Saccharomyces cerevisiae S288C: one gene and its partners. The protein of the gene in region 3 interacts with the protein of the main gene of each other region in a biochemical or structural test. Each region holds a gene or a part of one and is shown on either strand. Other genes may lie near its edges. The genes, in order: LAS17, ACF2, LSB3 and ERT1.

What was found.
Region 1: the proteins of LSB3 (region 3) and LAS17 interact in a test that uses a peptide from one of them, tested with the Saccharomyces cerevisiae proteins (2 studies listed by BioGRID).
Region 2: the proteins of LSB3 (region 3) and ACF2 interact in a test that uses a peptide from one of them, tested with the Saccharomyces cerevisiae proteins (one study listed by BioGRID).
Region 4: the proteins of LSB3 (region 3) and ERT1 interact in a test that uses a peptide from one of them, tested with the Saccharomyces cerevisiae proteins (one study listed by BioGRID).

The regions. Positions count from the first base shown.
Region 1 is NC_001147.6:672,279-680,140, reverse strand, and holds LAS17 (actin-binding protein LAS17), read right to left. Parts: upstream 4,203-7,862; coding exon 2,301-4,202; downstream 1-2,300. Other genes in the region: SER1 (O-phospho-L-serine:2-oxoglutarate transaminase), read right to left, coding at 1-784; FYV12 (Fyv12p), read right to left, coding at 880-1,269; 40S ribosomal protein eS30 RPS30B, read left to right, coding at 1,348-1,350, 1,762-1,950; putative dodecenoyl-CoA isomerase DCI1, read left to right, coding at 4,974-5,789; cleavage polyadenylation factor subunit SYC1, read left to right, coding at 7,730-7,862.
Region 2 is NC_001144.5:425,520-433,694, reverse strand, and holds ACF2 (endo-1,3(4)-beta-glucanase), read left to right. Parts: upstream 1-1,678; coding exon 1,679-4,018; downstream 4,019-8,175. Other genes in the region: SPE4 (spermine synthase), read left to right, coding at 1-872; RMP1 (Rmp1p), read right to left, coding at 922-1,527; DPH6 (diphthine--ammonia ligase), read right to left, coding at 4,309-6,366; PUT1 (proline dehydrogenase), read right to left, coding at 7,079-8,175. UniProt on the Saccharomyces cerevisiae protein: Cleaves internal linkages in 1,3-beta-glucan.
Region 3 is NC_001138.5:198,018-205,303, forward strand, and holds LSB3 (Lsb3p), read right to left. Parts: upstream 5,417-7,286; coding exon 5,370-5,416; intron 5,276-5,369; coding exon 3,943-5,275; downstream 1-3,942. Other genes in the region: ROG3 (Rog3p), read left to right, coding at 1-1,017; PES4 (Pes4p), read left to right, coding at 1,857-3,692; HIS2 (histidinol-phosphatase), read right to left, coding at 5,726-6,733.
Region 4 is NC_001134.8:695,497-703,110, forward strand, and holds ERT1 (Ert1p), read right to left. Parts: upstream 4,448-7,614; coding exon 2,858-4,447; downstream 1-2,857. Other genes in the region: YBR238C (uncharacterized protein), read right to left, coding at 1-1,806; THI2 (Thi2p), read right to left, coding at 4,994-6,346; VVS1 (Vvs1p), read right to left, coding at 7,093-7,614. UniProt on the Saccharomyces cerevisiae protein: Transcription factor which regulates nonfermentable carbon utilization. Activator of gluconeogenetic genes like PCK1. Involved in restriction of Ty1 transposition.

The DNA of each region.
Region 1 (7,862 bases), on a different chromosome or scaffold from region 3:
TTGGATAGTCGAATGCAATAGGGGTGATTGGTACTCCCAATTCATGTAATGTTTCATCAGAAGCGCCAGAAATATTCTTAAGGATGGATTTCTTGATAATGTATAGGGTTAAGCCTGCTAAACCAATGTTTTTTTGGGCGCCTGCCATGATGACACCGTATTGAGAAACGTCAATCTTACGAGACAAAATGTCGCTGGATAAGTCAGCAACAATTTCGATGTTGGGGTCGTTTACTAAACATTTTGGTAATTCTGGCCATTCAACACCATGAACAGTTTCATTCTCACATAGGTACACGTATGAGAAAGCCTTACCTTTGATTTTATCTTCCCAAAGGGATTCATCCGGAATTTTACCAAATTTGCCATTGTTATAATCTTTAGCGTTGAAGATAACTTCAGCAGGAACGTGCAATCTCTTTGCCTCTTCAAAAGATTTCTGAGACCAACTACCGGTGACTAAATAACCGGCAGGTGCAATCTTCCCATGCTTACCCACATATGCAGCTGCCAAATTAGTAGCAACGGAAGAAAAACCAGTAGTGCCACCACCTTGCAAGTAGAACACTTCATGAGTGTCAGGAATATTTAGCAGTTCGATTAAGTGCTTCTTAGAGTCTTCAATCACTTTGGTGGCATCCTTCGAACGGTGAGAAATTTCACCGATACCCAAACCTATGTCATTGAAATTGATTAAGTCTTTAGCAGCTTGTTGCAAAACTGGTGTAGGCATTTGAGCTGGCCCTGCTCCGAAATGTTGTGGTTCCTCTCTTTCCAAAGACATTGTTTCTTATCACTAATGGTTAATCGATGATTGATCAACTAATTAGACCTGTGTTGTTCAATTAAGTAATTTCAAAGGCTCCTTAATGTCTTTGTCTATTTTATGAAGGCACTTATATATATACATACATATAAAACGTATAAAAGAAAAGTAGTCATTAATTCGCGATGCTTAGAAAGAGTCACTACTTTTGGGCGTACAAGGTAAGAATAATTTGAATGGTAAGCTCGTGACCAAATTGTGGCTGCAGTTAAGGTGCCTCGGCCGGTGTCAGGTAAATTAATGCCGTCATCCGGGTTTCCTGTCCTTATTATGGCTTTTCTTTTGGGACCATACATCCGTACATATTGTGGACCCATTTCTTTTTCGCGCAGATGTTTTTTGCGTCTTCTGCTTAGCGGGCAAGGGTGACCGAGTTTCCCATCTATGCTGCATTTTCCTCCAATTAGTTTTGTCCCGTATTCACCATGGTGAAGTAATCTCATCCCAATCTTCAATATTAAGGATGAAGATTCTGAATTAGCACTCCTTCCTCAAGATACTAGATAAACAAATTATACAAAATGGTACGTTAATATTGTGTTAAAATGCTCCACGAAACGCTTTTTTTAGGAAACTTGTCCCCATACAGGAAGAAGGTGTATTAAAAGGGAAAACTACGATCAAAGTAATATTTTGAATAGGAAAGATTGCCCCATGATAATATTAATAATCCATCAAATGCCTGTAGATAATGACTGAAAAATGAAAAGAAAATAAAATATTGTATCATTATTATGTTGAGATGTAAATGTACAAAAAAGGAAGAAAGACGAGAATTTCAAAGGACGATTATTCTCGTTAATATTCACAACATGTTGAATATAGACCTTTCCTAAAAAATTAGCGTCTGCGTTGCAGTAACTCCATAACACAAGTCTGAATATCTCATTACTAACATTAAATGAAAAATTTTTTTTTTTTCAAATTCTCCTTAGGCTAAAGTTCACGGTTCTCTAGCTCGTGCTGGTAAAGTTAAGTCTCAAACTCCAAAGGTTGAAAAAACTGAAAAGCCAAAGAAACCAAAGGGTCGTGCTTACAAGAGATTATTGTACACCAGAAGATTCGTTAACGTTACCTTGGTTAACGGTAAGAGAAGAATGAACCCAGGTCCATCTGTCCAATAGATACTATCTAAAATTCTATACTTTTATTGTTCTACATGTGTAATTAAACAAAAATATTATAATTAGGAAATATTTACCCTTTTTACATGGGTTTTTGATTCGAACTGCTAAAATCTAGGATTTACTATACATCATTTTCTCAAACATTTGAAACGGCCATAGGGATGGCCATCATTGTAGCCCGACTATTACCTTGATCATTCAATCACTGACCGCCTTTGAACCTATATCAAAATTTCCTCCGATTAAAGAAACTATACATAAAAAGAGCAATTACTTTGATCATTAATAGTGAGTACATAAAATTACATATTTTCTATAACAGTAGTTTCATCTTTGTTTGCATTCCATTACCAATCATCACCATTGTCCATATCGTCATGAGCTCCCACTTTAGTTTTTCTTTTGTTTAAAGCTGCTGCCAACGCATCTGCTAAAGAAGCCGGAGGTCCACCAGGTGTGCCTCCATTTCCAGCCGCTGCTGGTGGTGAAGCAGATTCTCCACGTGCTTCCTGCAGTAAAACTGAGGGCTTATCTAGCTGCGATTTGTCAACTTTTCTCAAAGCGCCTATGCCACCTGCCCCTCTAATTGAAGCTAAAAGTGCATCACGACCTGCATCTCCAGTAGTTTCAGCGAATGAACCGCCTCCGGATGTTGATGTAGCTGGCATTTGAGGAGGTGGGGGTGGAGCTGGAGCTCCTCCAGATTGAGGTTGTTGAGTTAGGAATGCTGGTGGCGGAGGTGGTGCAGCACTCGTCGTCGATGGTAACGTTGGCGGAATAGGTGCTGAGGGTGCTGACTGAGGTATCTGCGACTGGCCTAAAGATGCCGGAGGAGGTGGTGGTGCCACTGGCACATTTGTGGCTTGCGAAGGTGCTTGAGTATTCTGAGGAAGGGGAACTGCAGGTTGTCCAGTTGCTGCAGTCATTTGTGGTGTCAGGGTATTGAAAGTTGTCACTGGAGGAGGGGGTGGAGATGACATGTTGCTATTTGTCTGATATCCAAAGGGGCGGTTAGAATTATTGTACTGTTGTGGATTTTGTTGCATCGTAACGTTTGGTGTGGGGCGAGATGCTCTTGGAGGAGGTGGTGGTGCTGGCCCTCTTCTTCCAGTGGCCTGTGGAAGGAGGCTATTTCCACCGGCAGAATTCAGGGTATTACTGGTTACGTGCCTATGTGGTGGAGGCGGTGGTGCTGGCCCACGCCTTGGCGGAGGTGGAGGAGCAGGTAGGCGAACACCTGAACCTTCAGTAGTGGTACGCATTGGCGGAGGAGGTGGCACAGGCCGATTATTTCTGTTAGGCAACTGTGGAAGGGGCCTATTCTGCTGTGGTATGCCCATTGAAGGAGCTTGATTAAACTGCTGCTGAGGTACCGGAAATGGAAATGGGTTTGTTGCAGACTGTGTCGAGGGAATTTCAGGAATTGGGAATGGAAATGGATTGCTTTGGGGTTGCGAAGGCGCGTTATTTTGAGGTGGAGAGTTATGTTGTGGAGGGTCTGGTAATGGCGCAAACTGATTTGGTAAAGGCGGTAAACTATGCTTTGGATGCGTTTCTTCTTTTCTTACTTCAGGAGATGCAGGAGGAAGAGCAGGGGCTGGGGTAGTCGGTGCGGATGCTGTTGTCGAATTGATATCGGAAAATGAACTTGTTTGGTCTGAATCAAATGTTTCGGCCGTTGGCGGAGGAGGGGGAGGAGCCTTATGCTTTGTAGTTGGAATTGTGTCCACATCTTCATAATTATATCTTTTCCTTTGATTGTCAATCAATGACTCCCCTCTTGGGCCGTGCACCACTTGAGATTTTTGTTCTTCTCTTACTTTCTTGGTTAATGCTACAGCATTTTTGTTCAACAAAGTTTTCCTGTTAGCATATCTTTCACGCTTTTGAACTCTCTTTAAAAAGTGCGATGCTTCATTAATATCTACAAACAATAAACCTGCAAAGCATTCTTCCATCTCAAATGTATGAAAAAAAGTACGGTCTTGATAGTATTCAAAATTCACATACAATTCTTGGTCCCAGATAACTCCTCTATGGCCATTGATGTCAACTAATTTCAAAAAAAAAGTATTCCCCACAAGATCGTCTACTAGAGCAAGAGCTCCTGAAAGTCCAGTGTACTGCCATTCATTTTTATCAGGGTATGCAATGTATAGTCGAGCCACCGTAACATCAATAATCTTATTCGACGCTTTTGGTAGAGCCCTTTTGATAATTTCCTTATCTGAAGAGTTTAGGAGTCCCATATTAAATCACGCCTATCAACACTTAAAGTAACGAACTGTAATTTGTAGCGGAGATGGCAATCGCTACAGCACTTCCTTTTCTACTATGTATATTCTACATTCAATATTTATTATTACATATTCATGATTTTTTTTCATAGGTATTGACTGGCCCCTTTTCGGACGTCTCGCACGTATTCAATGATCATATAAACTATTTGGAAAATTCAAAAAAAAACAACTATAAGATCAGTTAAGACTTATATCATAGATCTTTTAAACCAGAGACACAATTTCAAGTACCATGGGCAACTGCTTGCATTGCATTTAGTTTTGCCTTTTTTCTAATTGCAAAAGAAGAGTATTCCAAAACCACTTCTTTGATAAATCGTCCACGTCAGCCGGCGTTACTTGAAACTAAACGCATACTTTATGAAAAAGGGCCATCAACTTGTCTTTTTGTTAACATTCATTTTGAAAATATGAACTTTGGTATAATTGAAAATCTAGCATATCTATATTTTTTGAATATATTTAGGCGATAACTTAAAAAAGCATTGTTTCAGTTCTGAAGTTTGTTGCTTGTTTCTATTCTTTACTGGATGTCTGAAACCCCAAAAAAAAAAAAAAAAAAAGGACTCCACAAGTAGCGGCTGTAAGCGCGCTAAACTCCGACAGTGTATTATATATACGTAAACGATCCTGATAGAAAAATCCAATCCATTACCCCGGGATTATTTTATTACAGAGTAGGATTTTCTGGTGTTAAGTCTAGTGAGTTATCTTCTAACTATGAGCAGTCGTGTGTGCTACCATATTAATGGTCCCTTTTTCATAATCAAATTAATTGATCCAAAACATTTGAACTCTTTAACTTTCGAGGATTTTGTATACATTGCACTATTACTGCATAAGGCAAACGATATTGATTCTGTTTTGTTTACTGTTCTACAAAGCTCAGGCAAGTATTTCTCCTCGGGAGGTAAGTTTTCAGCAGTTAACAAGCTAAACGATGGAGACGTTACAAGCGAAGTGGAGAAAGTCTCAAAGCTGGTATCTGCTATAAGCTCTCCTAACATATTTGTGGCGAACGCATTTGCAATCCATAAAAAGGTTCTGGTGTGCTGTTTGAATGGACCGGCCATCGGACTTAGCGCATCGCTAGTTGCTCTTTGTGACATTGTTTACTCGCAAAACGATTCAGTATTTCTTCTTTTTCCCTTCAGCAATCTCGGTTTTGTCGCAGAAGTGGGAACTTCTGTTACCTTAACTCAAAAACTGGGTATAAATTCTGCAAACGAACATATGATTTTCAGCACACCAGTTCTATTTAAAGAATTGATAGGAACTATTATTACAAAAAATTATCAATTGACAAATACTGAAACATTCAATGAAAAAGTTCTTCAGGACATAAAGCAGAATTTAGAAGGGCTTTATCCGAAAAGTGTACTAGGTATGAAAGAATTGTTACACAGTGAAATGAAACAGAAGCTTATCAAAGCACAAGCAATGGAGACTAACGGAACCTTGCCTTTTTGGGCAAGCGGCGAGCCATTCAAAAGATTTAAACAGCTTCAAGAGGGAAACAGGCGCCACAAGTTATAATAATATAGCATTTAGAGATAGGATTTTAACATAAAAAATCTACTACACGATCATACTTCTGCAATTGTTAAATTCCGGGTTCTTTAATACTTTAATGTTGGCGCACAATATTTTATATCTGTTGTAAAATCCGCTTACAATATAAGTGAAATTGTTCCATTTTGTTTCATAGGAATTCTTACTCAAAAAGGATGTTTTTTAATATTCATATAATATTTACAAATAGCTCTCTGAAAAAAAGGATTTTTTTTTACACCTAATAAAACTGTCATTCATGTTAAGTAACTAAAGTGCTTCACAACTGTACTTAATGAACTGAATCAATTTCCTTGGCAATGCAAATTCTTCCAGACAAGAGGCGGCCGCGGCGGTATCTCTAGAAAATTTGGCAGCCGCACAAAAGGGTCCTACTGATGACGGGCTGGCAAACGGCGCTCTCCAAGGCACAAACTTTGTGACAAAATAGAATCCAGCGGCAGAGATCCGGATAAAAATGGGGGAGTGGACTTTCAAAAGCCGTACACCTCTTGTACTGAGGACAAATAATACAAGTTAAACTTGAATATTTAGATATGAGACAAAATGCTAACGCACATTCTCACTCCTAAATACTTAATTTCGAAGTCTGCGTTCCAAGATATGTAAGCCATCCATTCATACGGGATTGATGGAAAAGTCAGTAAATTTACAATACCCCTTTTATTCTGTTTGATGTGACAACTACTCGAAATCTGCGTAGTAATAAATATAACCAAAGGGAGTTCTAAAGAAGAAAAAAGGAACTCCCCAAAATAGGTCAACGATTACGAAAATTTTTATATGTTTGTTGGAAGTATTCGAGGAATGAAAAGAAAAATGGGTAGCAAACTGGGAATAACTGAAATAGAACCAAACGTCATCTTTTTAGAAAGAAAGGCATTCTTAGAATCATGATATGCCGTCCTTCGACCATATTGTGACCTAAGCTTTTTCTTCGACAATTGATACTGCATAATCGAAGGAGGATAAAAAAGTTGTTACGATAGTATTCCTTGAATGCACTTGGACTATATATACATGTTTATATTAGACGCATCTTTGACATTTTGCTTGCGCTAACCTTGCAGGTAAGGAGAGCAAAGGGAAAATGCATCGAAAAAAAAAAAATCGTGCTATTTTCGCTAATAACTATGCAAAATCAAGTGAAATGGTGTTTCTCGAAAAAGGTCACAAGCGCAACTTTATTTTCATGGTATATTCAGAATTTATTTTAATGATCGAAAAAAATTGGCCTAGCAAAGTAATCATTCAATAGTTTAAAGGCGGTTGCGGAGGATAGTGACAGAAAGAACTTCAGAAAAAGGTCCCTAGCCTAAAAGGAGCCATCACTATTAATGAACTCTATGAAGTTTCTGCTAAGAGAAAAGAATTTAGCCGATGTTTTGTTCAACTGCGACGCTTAGGGAAGAAAACATCGAAATATCGCAAGTTGTGTAACCCAGGCCACTCAAAGTCGAGTCTTTAAAAGTAGTGGTTTTATGCATATGTGCTGTTGTTGTTTTCCGAGAGGGATGCATATGAAATCTAGCCGAAAAGGCGATATCGTAGTATACAATGATTATGTATTTTTTTTGATTTTAATTTTTAGATAACCGACGATGGGGATAAAAGATATAAATCATAATGGTATCAAGCATCGTTGCTACTATGAAAAAAGACTTTATGTGATAAACATGCTTTATCTAATCAATTCACTTACTTCTTTACAAAATTCACTCATTCAACGATAGAATAAAATAGTCTCAAATTTGAGATTTTTTTTTTTAACTTCGGATGTTCTTCTTCGGGAAAGGAAGAAAGCAAGAAAAACAAGAAAAAAATAAGAGGAAACGGAGATAAAATTGCATGTCTGCACTATGACTGAACAAGAGCGGCTCACGTAATTTGCATTATAACGTAAAATGGATTTACCCAAGGACAAAAGTGACAGAACTCATCAAAGAATTAATCTAAATAACAGTGGGACAGATCGAACTAATGATTTGTACCTTCATATTGTCCAAACGTTCGGTTGCATAGAAACAACTGCAACGG
Region 2 (8,175 bases), on a different chromosome or scaffold from region 3:
AAGATGGATGGTTTAGAGAGATTAATGATAAAAGTTTTCCGGGCCAGGCCTTTACTATGACCGTGGACTCAATACTTTATGAAGCCCGCAGTGAATTTCAGGACATCTTAATCTTCCGTAACAAGGTATACGGTACTGTTTTGGTCCTCGATGGTATTGTCCAATGTACGGAATTTGATGAGTTTGCCTATCAAGAGATGATCACCCACATTGCCATGTTTGCGCATTCTAATCCCAAGCGTGTACTTATCATTGGCGGTGGGGACGGAGGTGTCTTAAGGGAAGTAGCCAAGCACAGCTGTGTAGAAGATATCACTATGGTAGAAATTGACTCATCAGTGATCGAATTATCCCGTAAGTTCTTGCCCACATTGAGTAATGGTGCTTTCGATGACGAAAGGTTGGACTTGAAACTTTGCGATGGCTTCAAGTTCTTACAAGATATAGGTGCTTCCGACGTCCATAAGAAATTTGACGTCATTATTACAGATAGTTCTGATCCTGAAGGTCCAGCTGAAGCGTTTTTTCAAGAGAGGTATTTCGAACTATTGAAAGATGCTTTAAATCCTAATGGCGTTGTTATTATGCAAAGCTCTGAAAATTTTTGGTTAAATTTAAAATACTTACATGATTTGAAAAATACAGCCAAAAAGGTATTTCCTAATACAGAATATTGCTATACCATGGTTCCAACCTATACATCTGGCCAATTAGGTTTAATTGTTTGCAGTAATAACGCCAATATACCGTTGAACATTCCGCAAAGAAAGATATCTGAGCAAGAACAAGGGAAGCTGAAGTACTATAATCCTCAAATACATTCTAGTGCGTTTGTTTTGCCTACTTGGGCAGACAAGGTCATTAATGAATGATTTATTAGCATTGATATTATTATTTTAAAAAGTCTATTTACTTGTATATTTATCCGAATATGCCATCAATGGCTGATTTGTTCTTCTTTTTCCTTTTCTTTTTCTTCTTACAGTTCTCTGTCAGAGGCTTTGGTATAGACGTTATCACTAGTTCGTTTTCTTGAACGTTGTTGCCAATATCTTCATCTATAATTTCTCCAAGTTCTTCGACATCGTTCACAACCGATTTTGCTTTTGTTCTCGGTAAGTTCTTTATTAAGCATCCACATCTTATAAACTCAGTTTCATTAATCTCCCATAATCTCATATACAGTGCCCTCACATTTGCCAGCAATGTTACTAGTGTACAACCCAACGTTACAAATTGTCCCAGCGCAATTACGCCATTGAACTGCCAGTACCATCTCTTTAACTGTCTAAAAAGTGCTCTCTGTAATAGCCTGTGCAACTTGACCCATTCAACATCTTTAAGGCGTTTGGCTTGTAATCTTCTCGAGCTAAAAAGCGTTATTATTTGTCCACAATTTCTTTTCATCTCATTGAACGATCCATACCAGCTAGCCGCTCTATGTTGATTTTTGTTCCTATGGTTCAAGAGCAATATTAACCGATATTCTTGCTCCAGAGATCGTATCACATTATCCATCTCATCCATTTTGTTTCTGCTCTTTTTTTTTTTGTGGATATATCATTCTAGTACTCATTTCTTTGAAGTTTTTTTCTTGGAACCATAAATAAAATTCATGAATTTCTGAAAAGTGCTAGTATCATAAAAACAAAAATAAATAAATACGAGAAGTAAAAAGATGTGTTACAGTAGGCAAGCCATTCCTCCACCTGTTCCTAATAGACCTGGCGGTACTACCAATAGAGGACCTCCTCCCTTACCACCTCGCGCAAATGTTCAGCCACCAGTTTGTTCTTCTGAGAACTCCAGTAAACCTCGAGAAAATAGGGTGGCAGGTGAATCACTGCGCACACCAAGCAGTTCTAACCCTTTAGCTGACAGCCAGGTGAATAGTGACAATATTTTTCAATCACCTGTCCTTTCTAACTTAAAAGCTCCTCCTTCCGTCTTCAACAAAGTTCAACACCCGGTACCAAAGCCGAATATTGATGATCAATCTGTTGATCCATTGGAGACAAACAAGTTCTACACAAACATGTTATTAGACGATAATACACAACCTATATGGACACATCCTTATTCAATTTGGTTTTCTCGTGATCCAGAATTGTTTGGTTTGGCCGCCAATCATACTTTAGCGTCTCAAAGGGTTTTTGATACAACTACAAATCCTCCCAGATTCTACTTCAATCCCACAAATATAAAATCATTTGTATTCAAGGCCAGGGAATTTGTCTCTTCAAATGATATCAAGCTTGAATTCCGGGATATGAAACATATGTCCATGTGCTTACTAATGTCTTTGAGTAGTTCCCAGTTTATAGAATTCCCGCTGGTTCAGGGGATGGGCTTTGTCACGGCTATTTACCACGATTTGGGTTTTGAATTAAGAAGCGCCGTTGGTTTCAGGAGCTTAGAGCGCATAAGCGTGAATGAAAGATATGGTAAATATAATATACAACTTGAGAATAATAGGAATTGGATACTTTATTTGACCTCACCTGATTACTCTTTTCCACAAGATTTTCAAATTTCATTACTCGACAGCAATACAATAATATCATCTCATAAAATCAATGGTCTTATCTGTCAATTATCTGCAGACTCCGTCCCCAGTATTGACATGGCAGCGGGCTGTTATCCAGTATACTGTGACCTATCAGGGCAAACTGTTGATGAACATTTCACAAATTACAGATTTAACTATACGGTTGCAGGCTACTCGCAGTCTGGAACTACTCTAATGTATGCTTTACCACATCATAAAGCGGCATTCACACCAGAAATGCAGGAACGTGAAATTGCCTCAAGCCTGGATTCCACAGTTAAAGGCTTAATGACTGGTTATCTCACAAACAGTTTTGATATGCAGGTTCAAGTACCTCAAGAATTGGGCTTTGAACCTGTCGCGTTATCTTTGAATAAGAAGGCAGATTACAGTCAAGAAAAGCTATCTAAAATTCGGGAAGCTGCTGTTCAAGAAGTTCAATTGAGTGACCCTCAACAAGAATCAAACATAGATTCTATGTATTTCTCTGGTAAGATACTTGCAAAGTATGCGTGGATTCTTTATGTGACACATTACATCCTTCATGATGAAAATTTAACAAAAGAATTATTATCTAAACTGACTATTGCAATGGAGAGATTCATCAGCAATCAGCAAGTCTTACCTTTAAATTACGACGTTAGTTGGAAAGGCATAATTTCATCAGGCTCTTCTAGCCAAGACTTTGGTAACTCTTATTATAATGATCATCATTTTCATTACTCTTATCATGTCATAACGGCTGCCATTATCTCTTTAGTCGATTCTGATTTAAGTGGAGTTACTAACAACTCCTGGTTAGAAAATAATAGAGATTGGGTTGAGTGCTTAATTAGAGATTACTCTGGTGTTGACAACGATGATCCGTACTTCCCTCAATTTAGGTCATTTGATTGGTTTAATGGCCATTCATGGGCCAAAGGACTATTTCCAAGTGGTGACGGTAAAGATGAAGAATCTACTTCAGAAGATGTCAATTCTTGCTATGCGATAAAATTGTGGGGGTTGGTAACTGGAAATTCTAAGTTAACTGACATAGCGAACTTACAACTCGGCATCATGAGAAATGTTTTCCAGAGCTACTTCCTATACGAAAGCAATAATACTGTCCAACCGAAAGAATTTATTGGTAATAAAGTTAGTGGTATTTTATTCGAAAATAAAATTGATCACGCCACGTATTTTGGCATGGAGCCTCAATACATTCATATGATTCACGCCATTCCTATAACATCAGCATCTTCATGGGTCAGAACACCAAATTTTGTCAAAGAGGAGTGGGAAGAAAAAATGCAGCCGATAATTGATCAAGTGAATGACGGTTGGAAAGGAATAATCATGTTAAATATGGCTCTGCTTGATCCAAAATTTTCGTACGACTTTTTCAGCCAACCTGATTTCAACAGAAATTTCCTAGACAATGGGCAAAGCTTAACTTGGTCTTTAGCTTATTCAGGTGCTTTTTCTTAGGGGTCAGAAATATATACAGTGTTAGTAGCATGGTACAAGTGTTACGATAAGGTATTTTATAGAATGATCATTTTTTTATATGAATATTGGTTCCTAAACCATCATCAATAATCAAATTATTACAGAACACACCTTAATTGTGCGGCGTATTCTAAATTTTACGTGTTCACAATATGGTGTTGTTCCTATGATTTGCTAACATATTTGGGATCTGTCTATCATTTACACCGCCAGGAGCGTGGACAGCGTATATCTATTAAGTTTATAAAATATAAGGCCTACATTTGGAGTTAGGAACGAATATGCAACCCAAAGCGGTGTTCTTTACCACGGTAATCAAAAAGTTTCTCCACCGGATAGTATCCAATGTGATGGTGGAAAGTGATGATTTCTTTGGGATTATAATAGAGGGTAATCTGGGCTGATTTTGGGGTTTTTTCCAAGATAAGTTCTAACTCCTCTCTACTATCTACAAATCCCGTAATAAAGTTTCTATTATATCCAAACGCACTAACTGTAGTGTTATGAAAACCTTCAATATTCAAATTCAATTTCTGGAATACGGTTGAAACATCATCATTCTCTTCCCTTTCTTTCTTGTCGGAATCATTATCGTCCACTATTAATCTCTTACAAGTAACACCACCAAATTCTGCAACAGCGCCTCTAGGTAATTCAGAAATCTTTACAAGAACTAGGCATTTTTCAACATCATCAGATTTGTCCATCCATAGATCTGATCTATGATTCATATTTGAACAATAAAACGCCCATGTTTTGATGACAGAGTCGAGAACCGATTCGTCTGAAATATAGCATGTCATGAGTAACTTTTCTTGAGCTCCTATTGTTTCACACAAAGTATCAAAATGTTGTAATGCCAAAACTATTTGGTCAGTGAGAGGTGTTCCTAATATTTCCATTGACTGCGGTACTAGTCCGATTTGCCCACTGATAAAACTGACTTGGTTTGCATCATCGTTTAACCAAGTACTTTGGGAATATGGTCCGATATTACATGGAGCCCAATATGAACGGCCTTGAACATGTAGTCCGCCCTTATTCTTGTTGATTTTTTCTTTGCCTGTATTTTTTACATCAACAACAACTGATAACTGTACGTGACAATCTTCTGGCAAGCACTTCGAACCTACGCATGCTCTTGATGGTGGCAAAGGTCCGTATTTTGACAAATCTAAAAATTCATTGTATATTTTGTTGATTTTTCCGAAATTAGACATATCTCTAATTAATAATGACGCAGATAAAATATGATTCCGTGGAATCTGGTTGGAATGCAGAATGTCGGCTAGCTCAGTAAAAATATCTTCACTTTGCTTCTCGACCGTCTCACTTTTACGTGATTGTAGGTTAGAGATGTACAACTTATCATTGGTTTTATTGATTGTCGTTTGTGGTAGAGCATTCGACATGTGATTTTCAAATCTTTGTTCTCCTGTTTTAGCTTGTTGCTTTGGCAAATTTTGGGTTAAATCTTGCCAATTATTACCAAAAATCGAAGGTACAGGTAATTGATCTAATTGGTTGAGTAAAAAACTTTTGCTCAAATTACGCGGTTGAAATTTTACCTTTAACCTTGCATTGTGAACTTCACCATCGCTACATTTGACAATATCAATTAATTCCAAGTATCCATGTTGGAAAAAAGGGGCATCCAAGACCATTGTCTCAAACTCCCCACCCTCTCCACAGATATGAACTTGATAAAGTTGGTTAAGTTTCTGTAACACCGGTTGCATCATAGGCAAGGACATTCCTAAATGTTTCTCGTTCAATCCAATTGCTGCCACCTTGATTATCCTGGCGTCAAATTTATTTCCTGAATTAGTATCGTTTTCAACATTGTTAACATCCTTGGACATAAGGCACATTTCACCCATTAGTTCGGCTTGATCCCTTTGCCATAAATAGCTTAGCACTACTAGACCCAATCTGGAACAAACATTTTCCACTCTGGTCCTCTGGTAAGACGATAAGATGGCACCTACACTAACAGCTTCTAAATCTGGAATTTTATCTTTGACAGTTCTTAGAAGTTCAAATAGTTCTTCAATTTCATCATCCTGAGTAGCAGTATAATTCAACTCGACGTTGTTAGAAGTGTTCCGTAATATTGAGCGTCTAAATAGTGGAACACCAATACATTTAGAATAATAGTCTATTAAGTCATGTCCTACTGTTTGGAACATGAAAGAGTCTAATTCTTGCTCTTCTGATTCTTTTGGGTATATATTTCCCAGGGCAATCAATTCATGGTTGTTCTTCAGGCAGTGAAAAATATTGTAGAACGAGTCCTTCCCACCTGATATTAATGCTATAAACTTCATGATACTGACTTATTGGGCTTTGAATTTTGATATAGCTTTATCAAAGATTTCCGTTTGAACTAGCTATTCATCATCCATCAGATATAAGTGAAAAAAAGCTTCTTTAATAGAAGCTTAAAAAAATTCTCCGCGACGGGGAATTGAACCCCGATCTGGCACGCGACAAGCGCCCATTCTGACCATTAAACTATCACGGATAAGAAACACTGGAAAACTATGTATCCCAAAATCCCATACGTTGGTTTACTAACACTACTAGATGTATTATTCATAGGTACCCCAAAATCCTTACAAAGAGACAAGGCTGAGTGTATCAAGCAAAACCGCTTTAAATCTGATGTTCTGCGCTTTCTCCCTTTGATTAGATTCAGGTCTTATGTAGTTTATAGAAGATGAGTACCTTTCTTGTGCATAAGAGTTGATAATAAGCCTGACGACGACAAGCCACTTTCCTACCGATTTAGGATTGGCAAAACATCTGGTACTATTCGAACCCATAATCAATAGGAAGAAAGCTTTACCAACAGATTGTTATTTAAGTGGTTCAAGTATATTAACTCTTGATATCCGTGCGTTTACTTTACTATTAGTGTTATTATCATTACTTATATATAATATGTATAACTAGAACATCAGAATTATGTATGCATACTTTTTTTTTTTTTTGGTTTTTTGGTTTGTCTTTGAAATTGGAGTATATATTATAGTCCTCTCATAGGCCTACTCTTTTTGGAATCGACTTTGCTATGGCCTTGATTAATGGCCAGCCATTATCAGATCTCACAGCATCCCCGTTTTCTTGCAATCTTCTCAAAAGATAATCTTTAGTTTCCAATGGTGGGCCCCATGGGACATACTTGATTATGTTTTTAGCGCCATGGTTGGTAATTAGGTCATAGGTAACATTATCTGCCATACCTAGTAATTGCCCCAACACAATGTTCGATTTGGCATAAGAGTTGTCTTGGGTAGATTTTAGCAAATTAGTAACGAGCATTTGGGATTGGTAATTATGAGAGGCGACAACCAAGTGACCAAAATAAGAATCCTCGCCATTGATGATTAAATCATTGACAACTTGAGTGATGATACGATCGTAATTTTCGTCAGTGCCCGTTTTATCGCCAAAGATAATTTGGTTACGGTTTTTTTCAGAATGAATATAAGCACCACGAACCAGTTTCAGCCCAAGCTTATAGCCGTTTTCTTGGGCCAGCTTCAATTCGTGCAAAATATGGTCACCAGAGTCCCTTAGGTACAACTGCCAAGTACCGACACATGATATCAGTTTAGATGAAGTGGGATTGAATTTTTGAAATAAGATTCTCTGTAATTCGTAAACACCATTCTCCTGCAAATCATACTTCTCAGCGTCAATAGTGGAAACCATAAATGGGGCCTTTCTTTCAGGGTACTTCTTTAACAAAGATTGATTTAGTTCAAAAATCTCTTTTGTAATCTTAGAGCAGTTCTCGATCAGCTGATCCCTTTGAGCCTTGTAGGCGGGATTACTGAAATTGTACAGAACCTCGTGAGGGTTATCGACCAAAGCAGAGGGTTTTAGAGCGATATAACCTGGAGCAATGTCATTGATTGGCTTAGATTCCAGCTGGCCAATAATATTGGGCAGTAGGATGTTGTGGACAGAGCTGATTGTTTCCTTGACAATTTGGTCTACTGGAGTACTGGACAAACTCTTTGTACCTTCGGAATTTTCAATAGTTAATGAAAGCATCATGTTCGATATACCTCTCTTCTGCAGACGTTTGCCGCATTCGATGACCTCTTTAAAGTTCTCACCGCCACAGT
Region 3 (7,286 bases):
CTTTCAATAAAACCATTGTCATCCTCGAATTTGTATTCGCTTTTTAGCACCACTAACCAGAAAGACGAAAACTCATCACAAGAAGAGGAAGAGGAATATCTGTTTTCTAGATCAGCATCAGTCACAGGGTTGGAATTATTAGCGGATATGCGTAGCGGTGGCTCTGTTCCTACCATTTCAGACTTGATGACGCCCCCAAATTATGAAATGCACGTATATGATCGTCTTTATAGCGGTTCTTTCACTCGCACGGCTGTGGAAACGTCTGGAACATGTACTCCTTTGGGAAGCGAATGTTCGACTGTCGAGGATCAGCAACAGGATTTAGAAGATTTACGTATACGGTTGACAAAAATTAGAAATCAACGTGACAATCTAGGGCTACCACCGTCTGCCTCGTCTGCTGCCGCTTCCAGATCGCTATCTCCATTACTAAACGTTCCAGCACCAGAGGATGGCACGGAGAGAATCTTACCTCAGAGTGCTCTTGGTCCCAATAGTGGCTCTGTGCCAGGAGTACATAGTAACGTATCACCTGTTTTACTTTCAAGATCCCCAGCCCCAAGCGTGTCAGCCCATGAAGTGTTACCAGTGCCCTCGGGCTTAAATTATCCAGAGACTCAAAACCTGAACAAGGTTCCATCGTATGGCAAGGCAATGAAATATGATATCATTGGTGAGGACCTTCCTCCTTCCTACCCTTGTGCGATACAAAATGTGCAACCAAGAAAACCCAGTAGGGTACATTCCAGGAACTCTTCGACAACATTGTCATCTTCTATACCAACTAGCTTTCATTCCTCTAGTTTTATGAGTAGCACTGCTTCCCCTATTTCCATAATTAATGGCTCTAGAAGTAGTTCTAGTGGGGTATCTCTTAATACACTTAATGAGTTAACTTCGAAAACTTCGAATAACCCATCCAGTAATAGTATGAAAAGGTCACCAACAAGACGGAGGGCTACTTCTTTAGCTGGGTTTATGGGAGGTTTTCTATCAAAGGGTAACAAACGATAGTCGCCGATATTGTTTCGGCTCGTGCATTAAGCTTGTATAGTTTCATATAGAAAGTGATGTATATAGCATTTACGCACTCTAACTGGCATTTTAAAGAAAAAGGGATAAATGCAATGTTTGGCGTGCGGCAGTATAAGTTCAAAAAAATCCACTGCATTGTTGAAAAGAGTCAGGTCGATCCTGCTATTGGTTTTCAGTTTGAGGGATCCTTTGATTTGCTAGATATCATAAGATAAATGGTCCACCATAAAGTAATTAAATCTTGAAATTAAATTCTTATTCCATTAGAGACAGAGAAACTATTCATTGTACATTCTCCAAATGTGGTGATATAAACACTACATTCGCTAAATTACATTATATTATTTCGAGCTTTGTCTTGTTTATATTTAGTTACGTTGGGATCAAGTTTTAAAAAACTAGATCTGGAGTGACCAAAAAAAAAATACCCAGCGTAAGGTAAATATTATGGATATGCTTTGGAAGAAAAGAATTTTGAGACTTACACATTATTCGGCACAGTAGGTACTAGAAAGCATAGAATCACATTCGCCTTTAAAGACATTCTTTTTTCTTGCTCCTTCTATGGACTGCGACACAATAGTTGTTTTTGTGTCGTACCGAAGAAAAAGCCTTGTGCAGAAAGCAAAAATAGTACACTTCTAGCCTTGATTACCAAGAGTTATGACAAAAATTTGCAGTTCAGAGTATACCTTAAAAACTGTTCCTAAGGTCAAATAAAGAGGAAAATAATCAAACTAATTATTCATTAATTGAACGAACCAATAATAACGAGAGAATCAGTATCACAAAAAAAATTTCAACCTACAAGAGGAAACATGTATTCTATTTCAAACAAAAAACCTTCTATACTCAGTATGGTTCCCCTGAATATTTTGAAAAACCAGGATTTGAAAGTAAAAAAAGATCAAGAAAAGAAAATATCATTTAACCCCGTAGTTACTCCTATTAGGCCAGACGACTACCACGAAAAAACATCCAGATCGTCAAGTTCGAGCCATTCTGATTCACCTGAATTTTTGAGAATTAACAACAACAAATCCGGTCACAAGAATGGAAAATTGAAAAGTTTTGAAAGTAAAAAACTAGTTCCGCTATTCATTGGTGACCTCCATGAAACAGTTACTGAAGAAACTTTAAAAGGGATCTTCAAAAAATATCCCTCTTTTGTCTCTGCTAAAGTTTGTCTTGATTCAGTGACAAAAAAATCACTGGGCCATGGTTACTTAAATTTTGAAGACAAAGAAGAAGCTGAAAAGGCTATGGAAGAATTAAATTACACGAAGGTTAATGGTAAAGAAATTAGGATTATGCCATCATTGAGGAATACAACGTTTAGAAAGAATTTCGGCACTAATGTCTTTTTCTCTAATCTACCTCTAAATAATCCATTATTAACAACAAGAGTATTCTATGATACGTTTTCTAGATATGGTAAAATTCTATCATGCAAATTAGACTCTAGGAAAGATATAGGATTTGTTTACTTTGAGGACGAAAAAACTGCGAGAAATGTGATCAAAATGTACAATAATACCAGTTTTTTTGGTAAGAAAATTCTATGTGGAATACATTTTGATAAAGAGGTCAGAAGTGTTCCAAATTTTGAAACACAAAAATCACGATTAGATGCGGAAACAATTATTGAAAAAGAGCAATCTTTGAATGAGAAACACTCCAAGGGGAATGATAAGGAATCTAAAAATATTTACTCTTCATCCCAAAATTCTATATTCATCAAAAACCTTCCAACAATAACTACAAGGGATGATATTTTAAATTTCTTCAGTGAAGTGGGTCCAATTAAGTCAATTTATCTATCCAATGCCACTAAAGTTAAATATCTTTGGGCATTTGTTACATATAAAAATAGCAGTGACTCAGAAAAGGCAATTAAACGCTACAATAATTTTTATTTCAGAGGTAAAAAGCTTTTAGTAACCAGGGCACAGGATAAAGAAGAAAGAGCCAAATTTATAGAATCTCAAAAAATATCTACACTTTTCCTGGAAAATTTAAGCGCTGTCTGCAATAAGGAATTTCTTAAATATTTATGTCACCAAGAAAATATTAGACCGTTCAAGATTCAGATAGATGGATATGACGAAAATTCTTCTACATATTCTGGGTTCATCAAATTCAGGAATTTTGAAGATGCTACGAGAATATTTAACTTTTTGAATAACCGTTTAGTAGGAGGAAGCATCGTCACGACATCTTGGGAAAGACAAAATAATGCACCTAAATATCATGATGGTTATGGAATGCGCAATATACACACCTCTTCTCATCCACAAATTACCCCATATTACCAGTACTCACATGCGAATAGTTTGAACTCCCCACACATGAGAGATCTTTCGTCAATGAATAGCAGCACAAGATCACTAATAAAGAATAAAAATTTCAATAAGAAAGTTTTGGAAACATTCGAAAAGCAAGTAAGAAGAGGTATAGATTTCATGAGATTTCCAAGTGCCACTAGAGACGAAAATGTGCACGGAATAGCTGAGTATATATTCGACACTTATTGGAATCGCGATGTGTTAATATTGGACAAATTTTTATCGTTGCTAAATAGTAGTCCATATCATGAAGGTGTATTGCAAAAACAAATTGAAGAGGCTGCAAGCTCGTTAGGATTTAAAAGATGAATGTCTCTTTGTTAATTTAGCTAGAGTTTTCCTTATTTATTTTTTTTATTTACACTAATTCAATCTTTTTCGTTATATTTAGATATTATTAAAAATTATTATTATGGAAAAAATTCTTAAAAGGATAGACAGAGGGACGCCGTCTGCTATATGATATGTATTTAGGTCCGAGTGCTGATAAACTGTAAGGCAAAAGGTATAAGTGTAAATCAATAACGTTTCTCGTATTCTTTACTCTCCTTCAAATTTTTTAAACTAGTTCAACGTAATTTGCTGGGAATATACCTTCTCTACCGTTGACTCTTCCGGTCCACCAGTCATTTTGAGAATCTGATTTTTTCAAAATTGTGATCACGTCACCCTTTCTGAATGGTAAATCTCCGGACTCTTCTCCTGCAAAGCTATATAATGCCACGGCCTTTGGAGAAGACGTGGATGGGGATGTTGGAGCAGTGAATCTGCCCTGACTAGTTTGCGGTGTTGAAGCGGACGAGATTCTAGATTTAGAAAATCTGTTCGACAAGTCATCGACTTCACGGTCTTTTGTCCTATCTCTTCCATTCCCGCGTCTATACCCGGATTCATAATCATCATCATAATCATCGTATTCATCATCAGCCCAACGATTTCTTGAAGAACGAGCCCTTGACTGAGCAGTTCCTGATCTTCTGTGGCTGGCATAATAACTTGAAGCTCCAGATGGGTCATCCAATTTACCACCACTACCGCCACTGTTGGTAGGAGCCAGTCTTGAATTCCTTGAATAGCCAGTACCATAATCATCATCGTCATCATCATCGTCGAACGTATAACGAGAACCGCTTTGGGCTCTTCTCCTTGTGGATCTTGTGTTAGGTCTAGTGGAGGAAGCATCTGTAGAACTGAATGAACTAGGAATGTCATTATAGTAATCGTCGTCGTCATAGTAATCGTCTTCGTCGTCATCGAAACTGCCACGACCACCGTTGGAGGGTCTGTAATTAAACGCCCTGGACTCTAAAACACGAAACAATGGATCAACTGCTGGAGGCGGTCTTATCCTACCAGACAAAATCATTTTCGCGGTACAATTGTCACCATAAAATTTTCTGTTAGCCTCTCTTCTTTCTATAATAGCCGAACCTTCCACAGAAACCCCTGCAAATAGACCTTTACTCTTAGAATAGGCAAAAACTGCAGCCACACCACCGGCGGAGGCTGATGCAGCTGCTTCTGCACTTCTACCAAGAGGCCCAGCAGAAACGGAGACGTTACCACCCAACGTGATGGTCCCAAATTCAGAAAACGACTTAACAGCATCCTGAGTATTTAAAATGAAAACAAAATCAGTCAATTCTATACCAACCATCCCACCGGCACCAGCACCTGCCATGGCAATGGCAGATGGAGCTGACCAAGTACCATCCTTTAATCTTGCGACAATCACACCAGAACCAGCTCTACCTGAAAATAGAAAACCTGCTTTTAAGATCGTTATGATAGCCAACCCTTTAGCTCTTTTCAAAACGTCTGGAGGAATGACTTGGTCCGCACCAAAAACTTGGTTTGGTTTGACAAAACTAGCCAAAATCTTCGCTGCTTTTCTTTATTAATTGTTTATTACTAGTTAGTAAATGATGAACAAATTAAGGGAGAACTTTTTTAAAGGTTTCCCAGCCAAACCCGTATAAAACATACTTTGTCTCACTCTTTAAACTCCTTGGAATAGGATTGTTAATACCCATTGCGTGTGATACAGCTTTTGTTTTTGATTTCTTTGCCACCCGTGATCCAAAGCCGTTCTAGATTTCTTCGATAGTTTATACTCTTTCATGTTGAACTTCCAGATGCGGCCGAGTCGGCGAGCAAACAGGGTGCTGCTACTAAACGAACAATAAAGAAAGACAATTTGGGCACCCAATATAAAATGAGCAGTCAATTCAATCAATTCAGTGTGAAATTTTTTTCTTGGAAAGATCATTCACTTCTACACAGCTGTACATGAGTTTATATGACAGTTTTTTTTTATGTACATCCAGTTCAAGATAATCAGATTATATATTGGCCCAAAAGGGATCATTAACGAATTGCGAAATGGGTAATCTCTTTACAGTTAACAGATTCTCTGGTGATTGGCTTTCCTCAAGGTAGCAAATATACTCTAATTGTAGCACGTCTACTATGTATTTCTTTACCTTGTCATAGCACACACCCACTTGCGCCACGCCGTGTGCGTCATCACTTAGAACAAATCTGGATCCACAGTGCTTCTTGACCAGATTACATAAGGTTTTGCTGGGGTACGGCTCCTCGAGGCGCTTTCTTAATGCGGACGTATTGATTTCAATTGCGCCGCCATAGGAGTCTATAAATTGTAAATTTCTTACAACTGCATCGTATATTTCTGGCCATTCACTGATGACGTCCAGTGAAGCTACAGGAACTCCGGTTTCTTCGTTGCAGTTGCCCGATTTCTGGTTTACTAGCATGTCATTGGGCAAAAATAATTTGTAAAGGTCGAAGTGACCCACGACCAACGGTTTAATATTGATCAGCATTTCGTACTGTGATTGGAAGTAAGACAGGAGAAAATGTTTCAAATTATCATTGAAGGAATGCAATGAATTGTACCATTGTTGTTGGTCGAAATCAATAGGGATCCCGTTGACGTGATGGACCGAACCCACACAAAACTTCAAAATATCATTATTCTCCTTCATGAGTCGCTTTGCATATTCGATATGAGCCATGTCACAACTTTCGATCTCCATTCCTATAATGAATTTAGTCCGCACATCGGGTCTATCAGCATAACGAGTCTTGATTTCTTGCGCATGACTCATGAAATTCTTGAACGATGTTTCTAGCTTGGTTATGACTTCCTCAGGATTCTTGCCCAATGACTGCTCTTCGGGGTATATAAACTTGGCCTCAATTCTTGGTATGTGCTCTGTCAAACAGTACGTGTGAAAGTTGAGGTTGACCACTTGATCGACCACGGAATCCAAAGGGTCCGTACCGTGGGCACTATAGTCACCGGAGTGTGAATGGTGTGAGTGCATGACCTCGAGGATTTTTACTGAATTGTACGTATCAAGAAGTACTAAAATGTGTTTGAAAGGGAAAGATTGTACGGGAAATGGAAAATGTACATATAATATCCAGTATCATTTGAGTTGATAGAGATTATCTCTATAGATAGAGAGATTTGACAAAAAAAATAAAAAAATTTAAATGGACGAGTCCGGAATCGAACCGGAGACCTCTCCCATGCTAAGGGAGCGCGCTACCGACTACGCCACACGCCCGAACGTTTGTTGAAATCTTCCAAACAGAAATGATACAGGTTTACTTTACAGCAAGACATTAGTAGTTTCATTAGCTTATCAACATGTATGAAACCGGCAAGATTGAAAGCTTGATTGCCCTTGACGAGCTACTCAAATGTGTAAATATCTGCACAATCAGTTTACACTCATGTTTCCGCGCTTTTACCCTCCATCTAGATTAAAATCTTATATGGATTATTTGGGATAAATAGCATTTAGTAAATCAAATTGATAAAAAAAAGAATAGCATTTAGGTATGCAGAATATACTAGAAGCTGTCCTCACT
Region 4 (7,614 bases), on a different chromosome or scaffold from region 3:
GCTGTTCATGTTACTTTTCTTGGAATCTCTATCATTTTGGGTCCATGTTACAGTAGCATCTCTTAAGGCCGCCCAATCTGCGTTGGCAATAAATCTTTGACCAATTTCATCTGATTTGCGGATTAAATCCATCCATCTTTGGAGAATTTCTGCATTCGAAGCATCATCGACAGATCCCATAGACTTTAATAAGATTCTATAAGCGACTATTGTTTTTGGAATGTGGTACGCCTCGTAACTCTTATCGATGTATTCTAAAATACTGCGGTCATGCCAGACAGTGCATTTAGCCAAGATAATGTTAAAGAAAGGTTCATCTATATGCTTGATGTTGTTGTAAGTTTGAATAATATTTTGTAAAGTTTGAAAACCTTGCATCTTGTCCACAGCATAATTTTCAAAAAAAATGTCGAAAAAAGTGTCATTCAAAGATGAAGAAATACCGTGGTTGACGTTTCTACCATAATGTAAAGAAGACTTGTACCAGATTTGATAGATGTGGTTGAAATCACGGGTTTGGCTCCATATGTTTCTTAAAAAGGATTTCACGTAGGAAACTTGCAAGTCTATCTTGTATGGCATTTCATCATTTAAAGCCTTGTCAAAAAAGGTTTGAGCCACATTCAAGTCTTTACATTCACCAATGAAGGAAAGATGGGTTTCTATCAAATAACCGTATTTCATTTCGGTTGATTCTTGGCATAATTTTTGGAATAATTTGAGAGCCATGTCATTTTCACTAGCAGATAAAGAGGCTCTGATCATCCCAACTGAAAGATTTGGATGGAAGTAATTAATCATCGATGAAGACTTTTCATATAGAGCTTGAATTTCTGGATAAGAGACACCATTGTCGTATAAGATGGGTAATATAACACCGACAACTCTTGGATTCAGAAAAATATTAGATGTGTAGGTATTTTGCCCATTGATTGCAGCTTTCCATATGTCGACAGCTTCCTCAAACAACAAAAGCTCCTTAAACGCAGTTATCAAATGCATAGCACCGTATTCGTTCAGTTCGACCTTGCCGTTTAGAACGTCTTCGGAGATCTCTCTCAAAGATTTGCAAAGATAGTTTGTCATTTCTTTGTGAAAGGATTGAGAGTCGTAATCAGGTTTCTTGTTCATTCTCGTCAACTGATTTCTATTAGCTCTCAACCCATTGTGAAGTAAATGTACAAGCTTGGAGACACGATCAGAATTTAATTCCGGTGTAGTGAGTAGATCATGATACAGCCCCATTGCTCTACCTATAGAATCCCAAAATAATGGATTAGCGTTAGAATTTGGATGTTCTGAATGGTGTTTCATGTTTTGACGCCTTGGAGTTTGTGACATATAAAGAGTCTGTGAAACGCAATCTTCGAAGGCACAAACCTTATGAAACCATGGGGAGTCTGGGCTAATTGAATTACCTTGATTGGAGTTATTATACTTGCTATGATTATGGTTATTTTGATGATGGTTACGATTGTTATTGTGGTGATGATTACGGTTATTGTTATGATGGTTGTTACTATTATTGCTGTTATTCTGAGCTAGATGATTGTTGTTGTTGGCTCCAATGTTGCCACCAAAGTGAGGAACAAAATGGTTGGCTGGGCTTACCTGATAAGTAGCGAGGGCTGGATTGTTAAAAGTAGCAGGCGTGTAAGGAATGGCATAGTTGTGTTCATGGTGCTCCATAGCGATTGTACCGTTAAATTTCATTGGATGAGTCAGCGAATTCTTTGTCGGATGTGGAACAAACTGGTTTGGGGGTTTGCCCTTCAGTACTTGTGTTTGCTGAGCTAAACGGATCATAGGATCAGATTTGCAAGATAGAAAAGCAATTAGAGTAAGAAATATCAAGCTAATCACACGTTTTTAAAACCTCGATCCAACTATAGAACGTACTGTATTCAAGAAAAAAAACTGAGAGAAGAATGAAAGGAAAAGGGTTTCTATAGATATAACCAATGCGATATGTAACTTCAGTGCTGAACGACAAAGTTTCTTTATTGCCTTATTTTGACTTTCTTCGAGATGTCCATGGCATAACTTGAGCAAGGTTGAAAAAATTTTCTTTTCTTTTTTTCTCCGAAAGAAACCCGTTTCTTTTGGTGCACACACAAAGCTCGTGCAGAGTGCTGTCCTCTGAGAAATTACCGCAGAATCAGAGGATCTATGAAATTGCCTCTCTTGTACGAGCAGTTCACTGCAGGCACTCGTCCCTTCACACGGAAAAACAATATGGGAAAAGTTGCCTGAAAGTTTAAGCTTTTTTACATATTATCAAGGCAAGAAAAGAAGAGAAATTTTTCGAGAAAATGAACAACGAAGCAAACAATATGAAGAGGACTGCTGCTATTTTTCCAGTTAGGTACCATGTGGCATGCTGTTTTTCCGCAGTTCGTTATGTAAGGTGGAAGGCGGTGGTGTGTGAGACATGCCCTGTGAGACATTGGAAACTCATGCGTACAGAAAGTGAAACTAGCTCAATTGGTTGAGTTTTTTGATGGTATACGCCTGATGTTTTTTTCGACAACAGGTGAGTGAAATAAAACGAAGAGCAAAAAAAGAAGAAGAAATTTAAGAAAAAAAAAAAAAAAAAGGGAAGAAAAACGGAGCTACCCAATATCGGAAGATTCGTAAAGGCCGCCATATACACAATAGGGGCCCTTCGTTATATGTGCTCGAGCCTCTGGATATCGACCAGAATGAGCAGACGCCTACGAAACTGGTCAAGGCTTCAAGTAAAATTGCTGGAATCTGTTAACACTTTTAAAAGAACACAGTTCTTGACTTACTTTTGGTCTATGCATAGGTATTATATAATACGAGGTAGTAAAATGAGAAAAAAAGAAAAAAAAAGTCAATTGAGTATGGGCATGAAGTTACCCAAGATCATGAGGGGCAAACCAGAGACATCTCTTTTTAATGTCCACATACAGCAACAATGAATTATCTTGCCCTTGATGGGGCTTAAGAGCCTGCAAACTTTCATCTTCTCAGATCCTCTGAAGTCCCTATATGCAACTTTAGAGAGCGTTTTGAAGTAATCGCGTACACTTTCATCGTCCATGATCTCTACGATAAAAGTCATCTTGTTTAGTAGCTCCTCTCTTGTCCATCCGCATAGAATTTCAAATTCCTCGTTGACATAAGAAATTTGACCATTTCTTCGCCAAATACATGTCGGGGTACCGATTTGTGCAATAAATTTTACATATTCTAATAGAGTTCTTTGGTAGCATTGCTCCATAAAAATCATGTCCTCCTCGGTTAAAGTTACAGAACACGCAATGAAAATGGGCCGGAATTCGGCAATGGACCGACACATCTTCACCAGATCCTGCTGGTTGAATCGATGCTTTAGGTACACCAAAAGATGGTGGAATCCAGGTGTATGCGAAAAGGGGGCATTTATGGAGGTGTATATTTCCATTGGAGTAGAATAACGTAATGAATGTTCCCATTCTACATTGCTCTTGATGTTGGCAGCGTCTGGTGAACAGCTTTCCAGGGATACAGAGACCAAATGGTTTTTCCTCCGCTTTAAGGGGATAGCCAACTCGGGAAATGTTACCGTTTCGCTGTTCAAGTAATATTGGTTTATGCTTGAGTCCCAATTAATTTGGGAGCTCTTTTCAGATGGGTCCCGTGGCAATAATCTTTTAAAGTTTAAGGAATTATCAGCTGAATCAACGGGCACTAAGGGGAAATGGTTCGCGAAAAGATTAACTTGCGAAGCTACAATCTTGGCTGAATTTGGTCCCAGTAGAATAGAATAAACGTTTTGATTGGAAGATGGATACGGATGTGGGGGTATGTTTGCTCGCTGTTCGCTGTACAACTGGCGAATTTTCTCCATTTCTGTTTCTTCAGGGCTTGTATTTGTGCCCGTAGGGCTATTGTTACTGCTATTGCCTATTGTGGAGTTGGATGTGGAATTGGTGTTGGAGTACAGGATGTCAATAGGGATCTTGTTAGACAATGTGTCTTGATAGATGATATTCGACAGAATAGAGTACTCGGAATCTGCAGCATTCGATAGGAATTTAGCTTTGTGAACTATATGTTGTGGGCTGGTGAATTTTTGCTGTTCTCCCATGTTATTTACGTTGAGGCTACTATTGCTGGAGTTGTTATAAATGGGTATCATGATCTTGCGGGGTGGAAGGTCCGGTTGTATGTTCATTGGGAGCTCTCTATTCGGTATTCCAGCCAAGTACTTGCTTTTCTTTCTTGGAGCGTCAACGCATGTAGCCGTGAGGCCCTTGCTGATACATCGTAAGCATGGCCTTTTGGCCTCACATGACACATGCAATCTCGAACAGTTCACGCATGCCACGTTTGTGTTTTTTCTCTTTTTTCTCTTCTTTTTTTCGAGAGTATGATTTGTATTTGCAGATGTATCTGGGTCAGTTGATGTTTTGTAATCGTTTTCATCTGGAGTGCACATCACGATGATTCATCAATGTATTTTATTTTTATACCTTCGTGTGTCTGTTGTACCCAAAAGAAATGATAAAAATAGCTCAAGAGTATCCTGACTTTATATAACTAGCAATTTTATCTAAGAGAGTAATGCCGTTGCACCGGCTCTTGTTTAGTTTTTTTATGTGGTTACTCTTTTACAATATACTAAAATTGCAACTCATTTGCTTTTTTCATTTCTTTTCCTTCAATTTTTTTTTTTTTTTAGTCTACGGCTAACAAAAAGCATAGGCTCAGAATGATAGATAGATATCCGATAAATGTCAGTAAAGACAAAGAAATCAGTAAAATAAACGTTTCACCCTGGCAGATAGGAAACCCTATCTCCCAGTGATAAACTTTAATTTTTTTTCGTGCATATATATATATACATATATAATATAAAACAAAATATCATGAATTTCTATCTAAAGTAGTGGGAAAAAATATGTCGTTAAAAATGGGTATAATATCCAAGCAAAGCTTTTGGCTTTTTTTTTCTTGAAATGAGTGAAGGGAAGGCTCAATAAGCCTAGTCCTGCATGGCATATACATCCTTGTAAAATTGTTGATTACACTTCAGTTGTAGCTGCCAGTACCGCAGTTGGGAACATGAAAGTGTGGTATCTTGACATGAGCAAAGTTGTTGCAATATTGTATCTTTCCAACTATTCACTAGGCGCTCCGTGACCAAGACATGTAACTCCGACGTAAGCTCGTCCTGGTAGGGATCCTCGAATAAGTCGGCATTCCCTAGCAATCCATTACAATGGTACAGGACGTCTAAATCTTGTGTATTGTTTATGATAAAGTTGACCAGCGGATACATCGAAAATCTCAATAGCTTTTGCTGGAGAAACCACACTCTTAGAAGCTTTGTCAAGTTGGGGCAGGTATATCCATGAATGATGACCAGCATTGTTATAGCTATGGATTGCCAATCGACACAACTCCAACGAGCGATGCACTCTTTGAACAGGCACGAGGCCATATTGATGTCCGGGTCGTCAATTATTTTCCCAAGGAAGCGTATGAATTCCGTGGTCAACGAGTTCCTCATCTTATTGATGAACCACGTCGTGTATTCTTGTCGGTTCAATATCATGTTCCCGTAGCAATTAAACCATAGGATCCCGAAAATTTTGCCTTGGATAATATCGATCAAAGAGGTGCTGTCTTCTGGCGGCGATGACAGCGCTGCAGTAGTGGTTTCCTCTGCTGACGACATCGAATGACCCGGCGACGGCAGCTGATCTGTAAGAGCAGAGGTAACTGCAGCCGGATTGGCCCTGAAAACTGAGTAAGGCCCGTGTTTGGAGCAATTGAGGTTGACCACAGATATGTCGTTTTCCACCATATTAAGCAATTCGTCCAACTTCTTGTCTATGCGCTTTTGAGTATAATCTCTATTTGTCATGCTACCAAAGACAGAGGCCACAGCGTTATTGTATATCTTCAATCTCCGTACGCTTATGGTGAATGTATTATCGTTAGGAAGCGTAGTTTCCTTACTTGCCTCGTGCACGCTGTCTTCGCAGTCACTTGTCGGGGGTGATAGTTGTCTAAAATGGGTCATTTGTTTAAACCTTGATTTTGAGATTTTCTGGCACAATGGTTTCGATTTCGATTTGCGAGCCTGTAATGAACTGATCAGTGAATGCTTGCGTACTTTGTAGATGTTCTCCTCTAACCACATAAGTCTGATATCGTAACTACAATTATCTCCATGTTTGGCACACAGTGAACAGATTGGTCTATTCTCGTCGCATCTGCGTTTCTTGAATCTGCATGCCCAGCACCCAGTAAATGTCCTCCCCTTGGTGGGGGGCACTTTGGAGGATGACGCTACTTTCTTGCTTCTCTGCTGCCTCTTACTATTGACCATTTGGTTCTAGTGCGGATATATATATAGGCTATATATATACGTGGTGAAATGAAATGAAAACGCTTTTAAAGTGTGCAGAAATTGTTATAGCTCTAACCCGTAGTATTAGTTCCCCATATAATTCCGACCGAGAAAGGTGCACCCACTTGTCATACAAATTGTACATATATATATATATATATATATATATATATATATATGTATATATTATACCTGCAAGCAATTGCACGCGAGTACTCTGCGTGAGTCAAAAGACTGTGGTAAAATGGTACCCATCTGATGCAGGAATTCCGACTCTTTCAAGCTAAATGCCGTTTCATTTTGGCACGGATGCATTCGCAGATTGGTTGGAAATCCGCATACATCAAATGCGCCAAGAGGGCTGCCATTGTATATTCCTTTTCTCGGCAGTCCTGCCGGATGCATTTATGCCGCTAAGACGCAGAACCGAATATTGGGCTCAGGAAAATATGCAGATAGACGCTCGCCCGTGAGCGACTCATGACGCGCGTGTGCTATTTTGGCCCCGGCAGTACAAGCGGTAGTCATGGTTTCCGCCACACGGATCTCATACAACAGCAATCCATTTGGTTTGCCTAGTTCCGTACATATACATAGATACTAACTAAATGAGTGCATATACTCATGTAGCCGTTCGTTACTAGAAGAAGAAGAAAATAAAAAACAGATGAATAGCTAGAAAGAAGTAAAAAATAGTTGCTTAGGTATATATGACTGGCTACAGATCAGTAGCCAGCCCAAACCTCGCTGTATGTAGTCTTGCCCTTTGTCTCGGGTACACGCTTGTACACATATGTAGCAAACATGGCAGCGATGGCGGCGAAGATCGCAAATACGTAGCCGCCCATGAGGCCGTGGCCTATCGGGAAGAGGTATCCGACGATGAAGGTGGCAAGCCAGTTGCACACAGTACCAAAACTTTGAGCTGTAGCGGCATCCTGCGGGTAGGATAGCTCACCAATGATCAAGAAGGGGATGGGTCCCAGACCGATGGCGAATGCGGCAATATAGACAAAAGTGGCCGTGACCAGTAAAAAGGATACGCTCAAGGTGAGACCTACACTGATCAGCAGCGACATGGCGGTCATCACCGTAGTCGAGGCAAGCAATAATGGACGGCGCCCGACGTGGTCGATGATCGCAGATGCTGCTAGAGTGACAACGACATTGAGGATGGAAATGGCAAAATTTACCTGAATCGAGTAGTCCGGTAGAATCTTGCCGATCACTTTTACACCGTAGAAGAT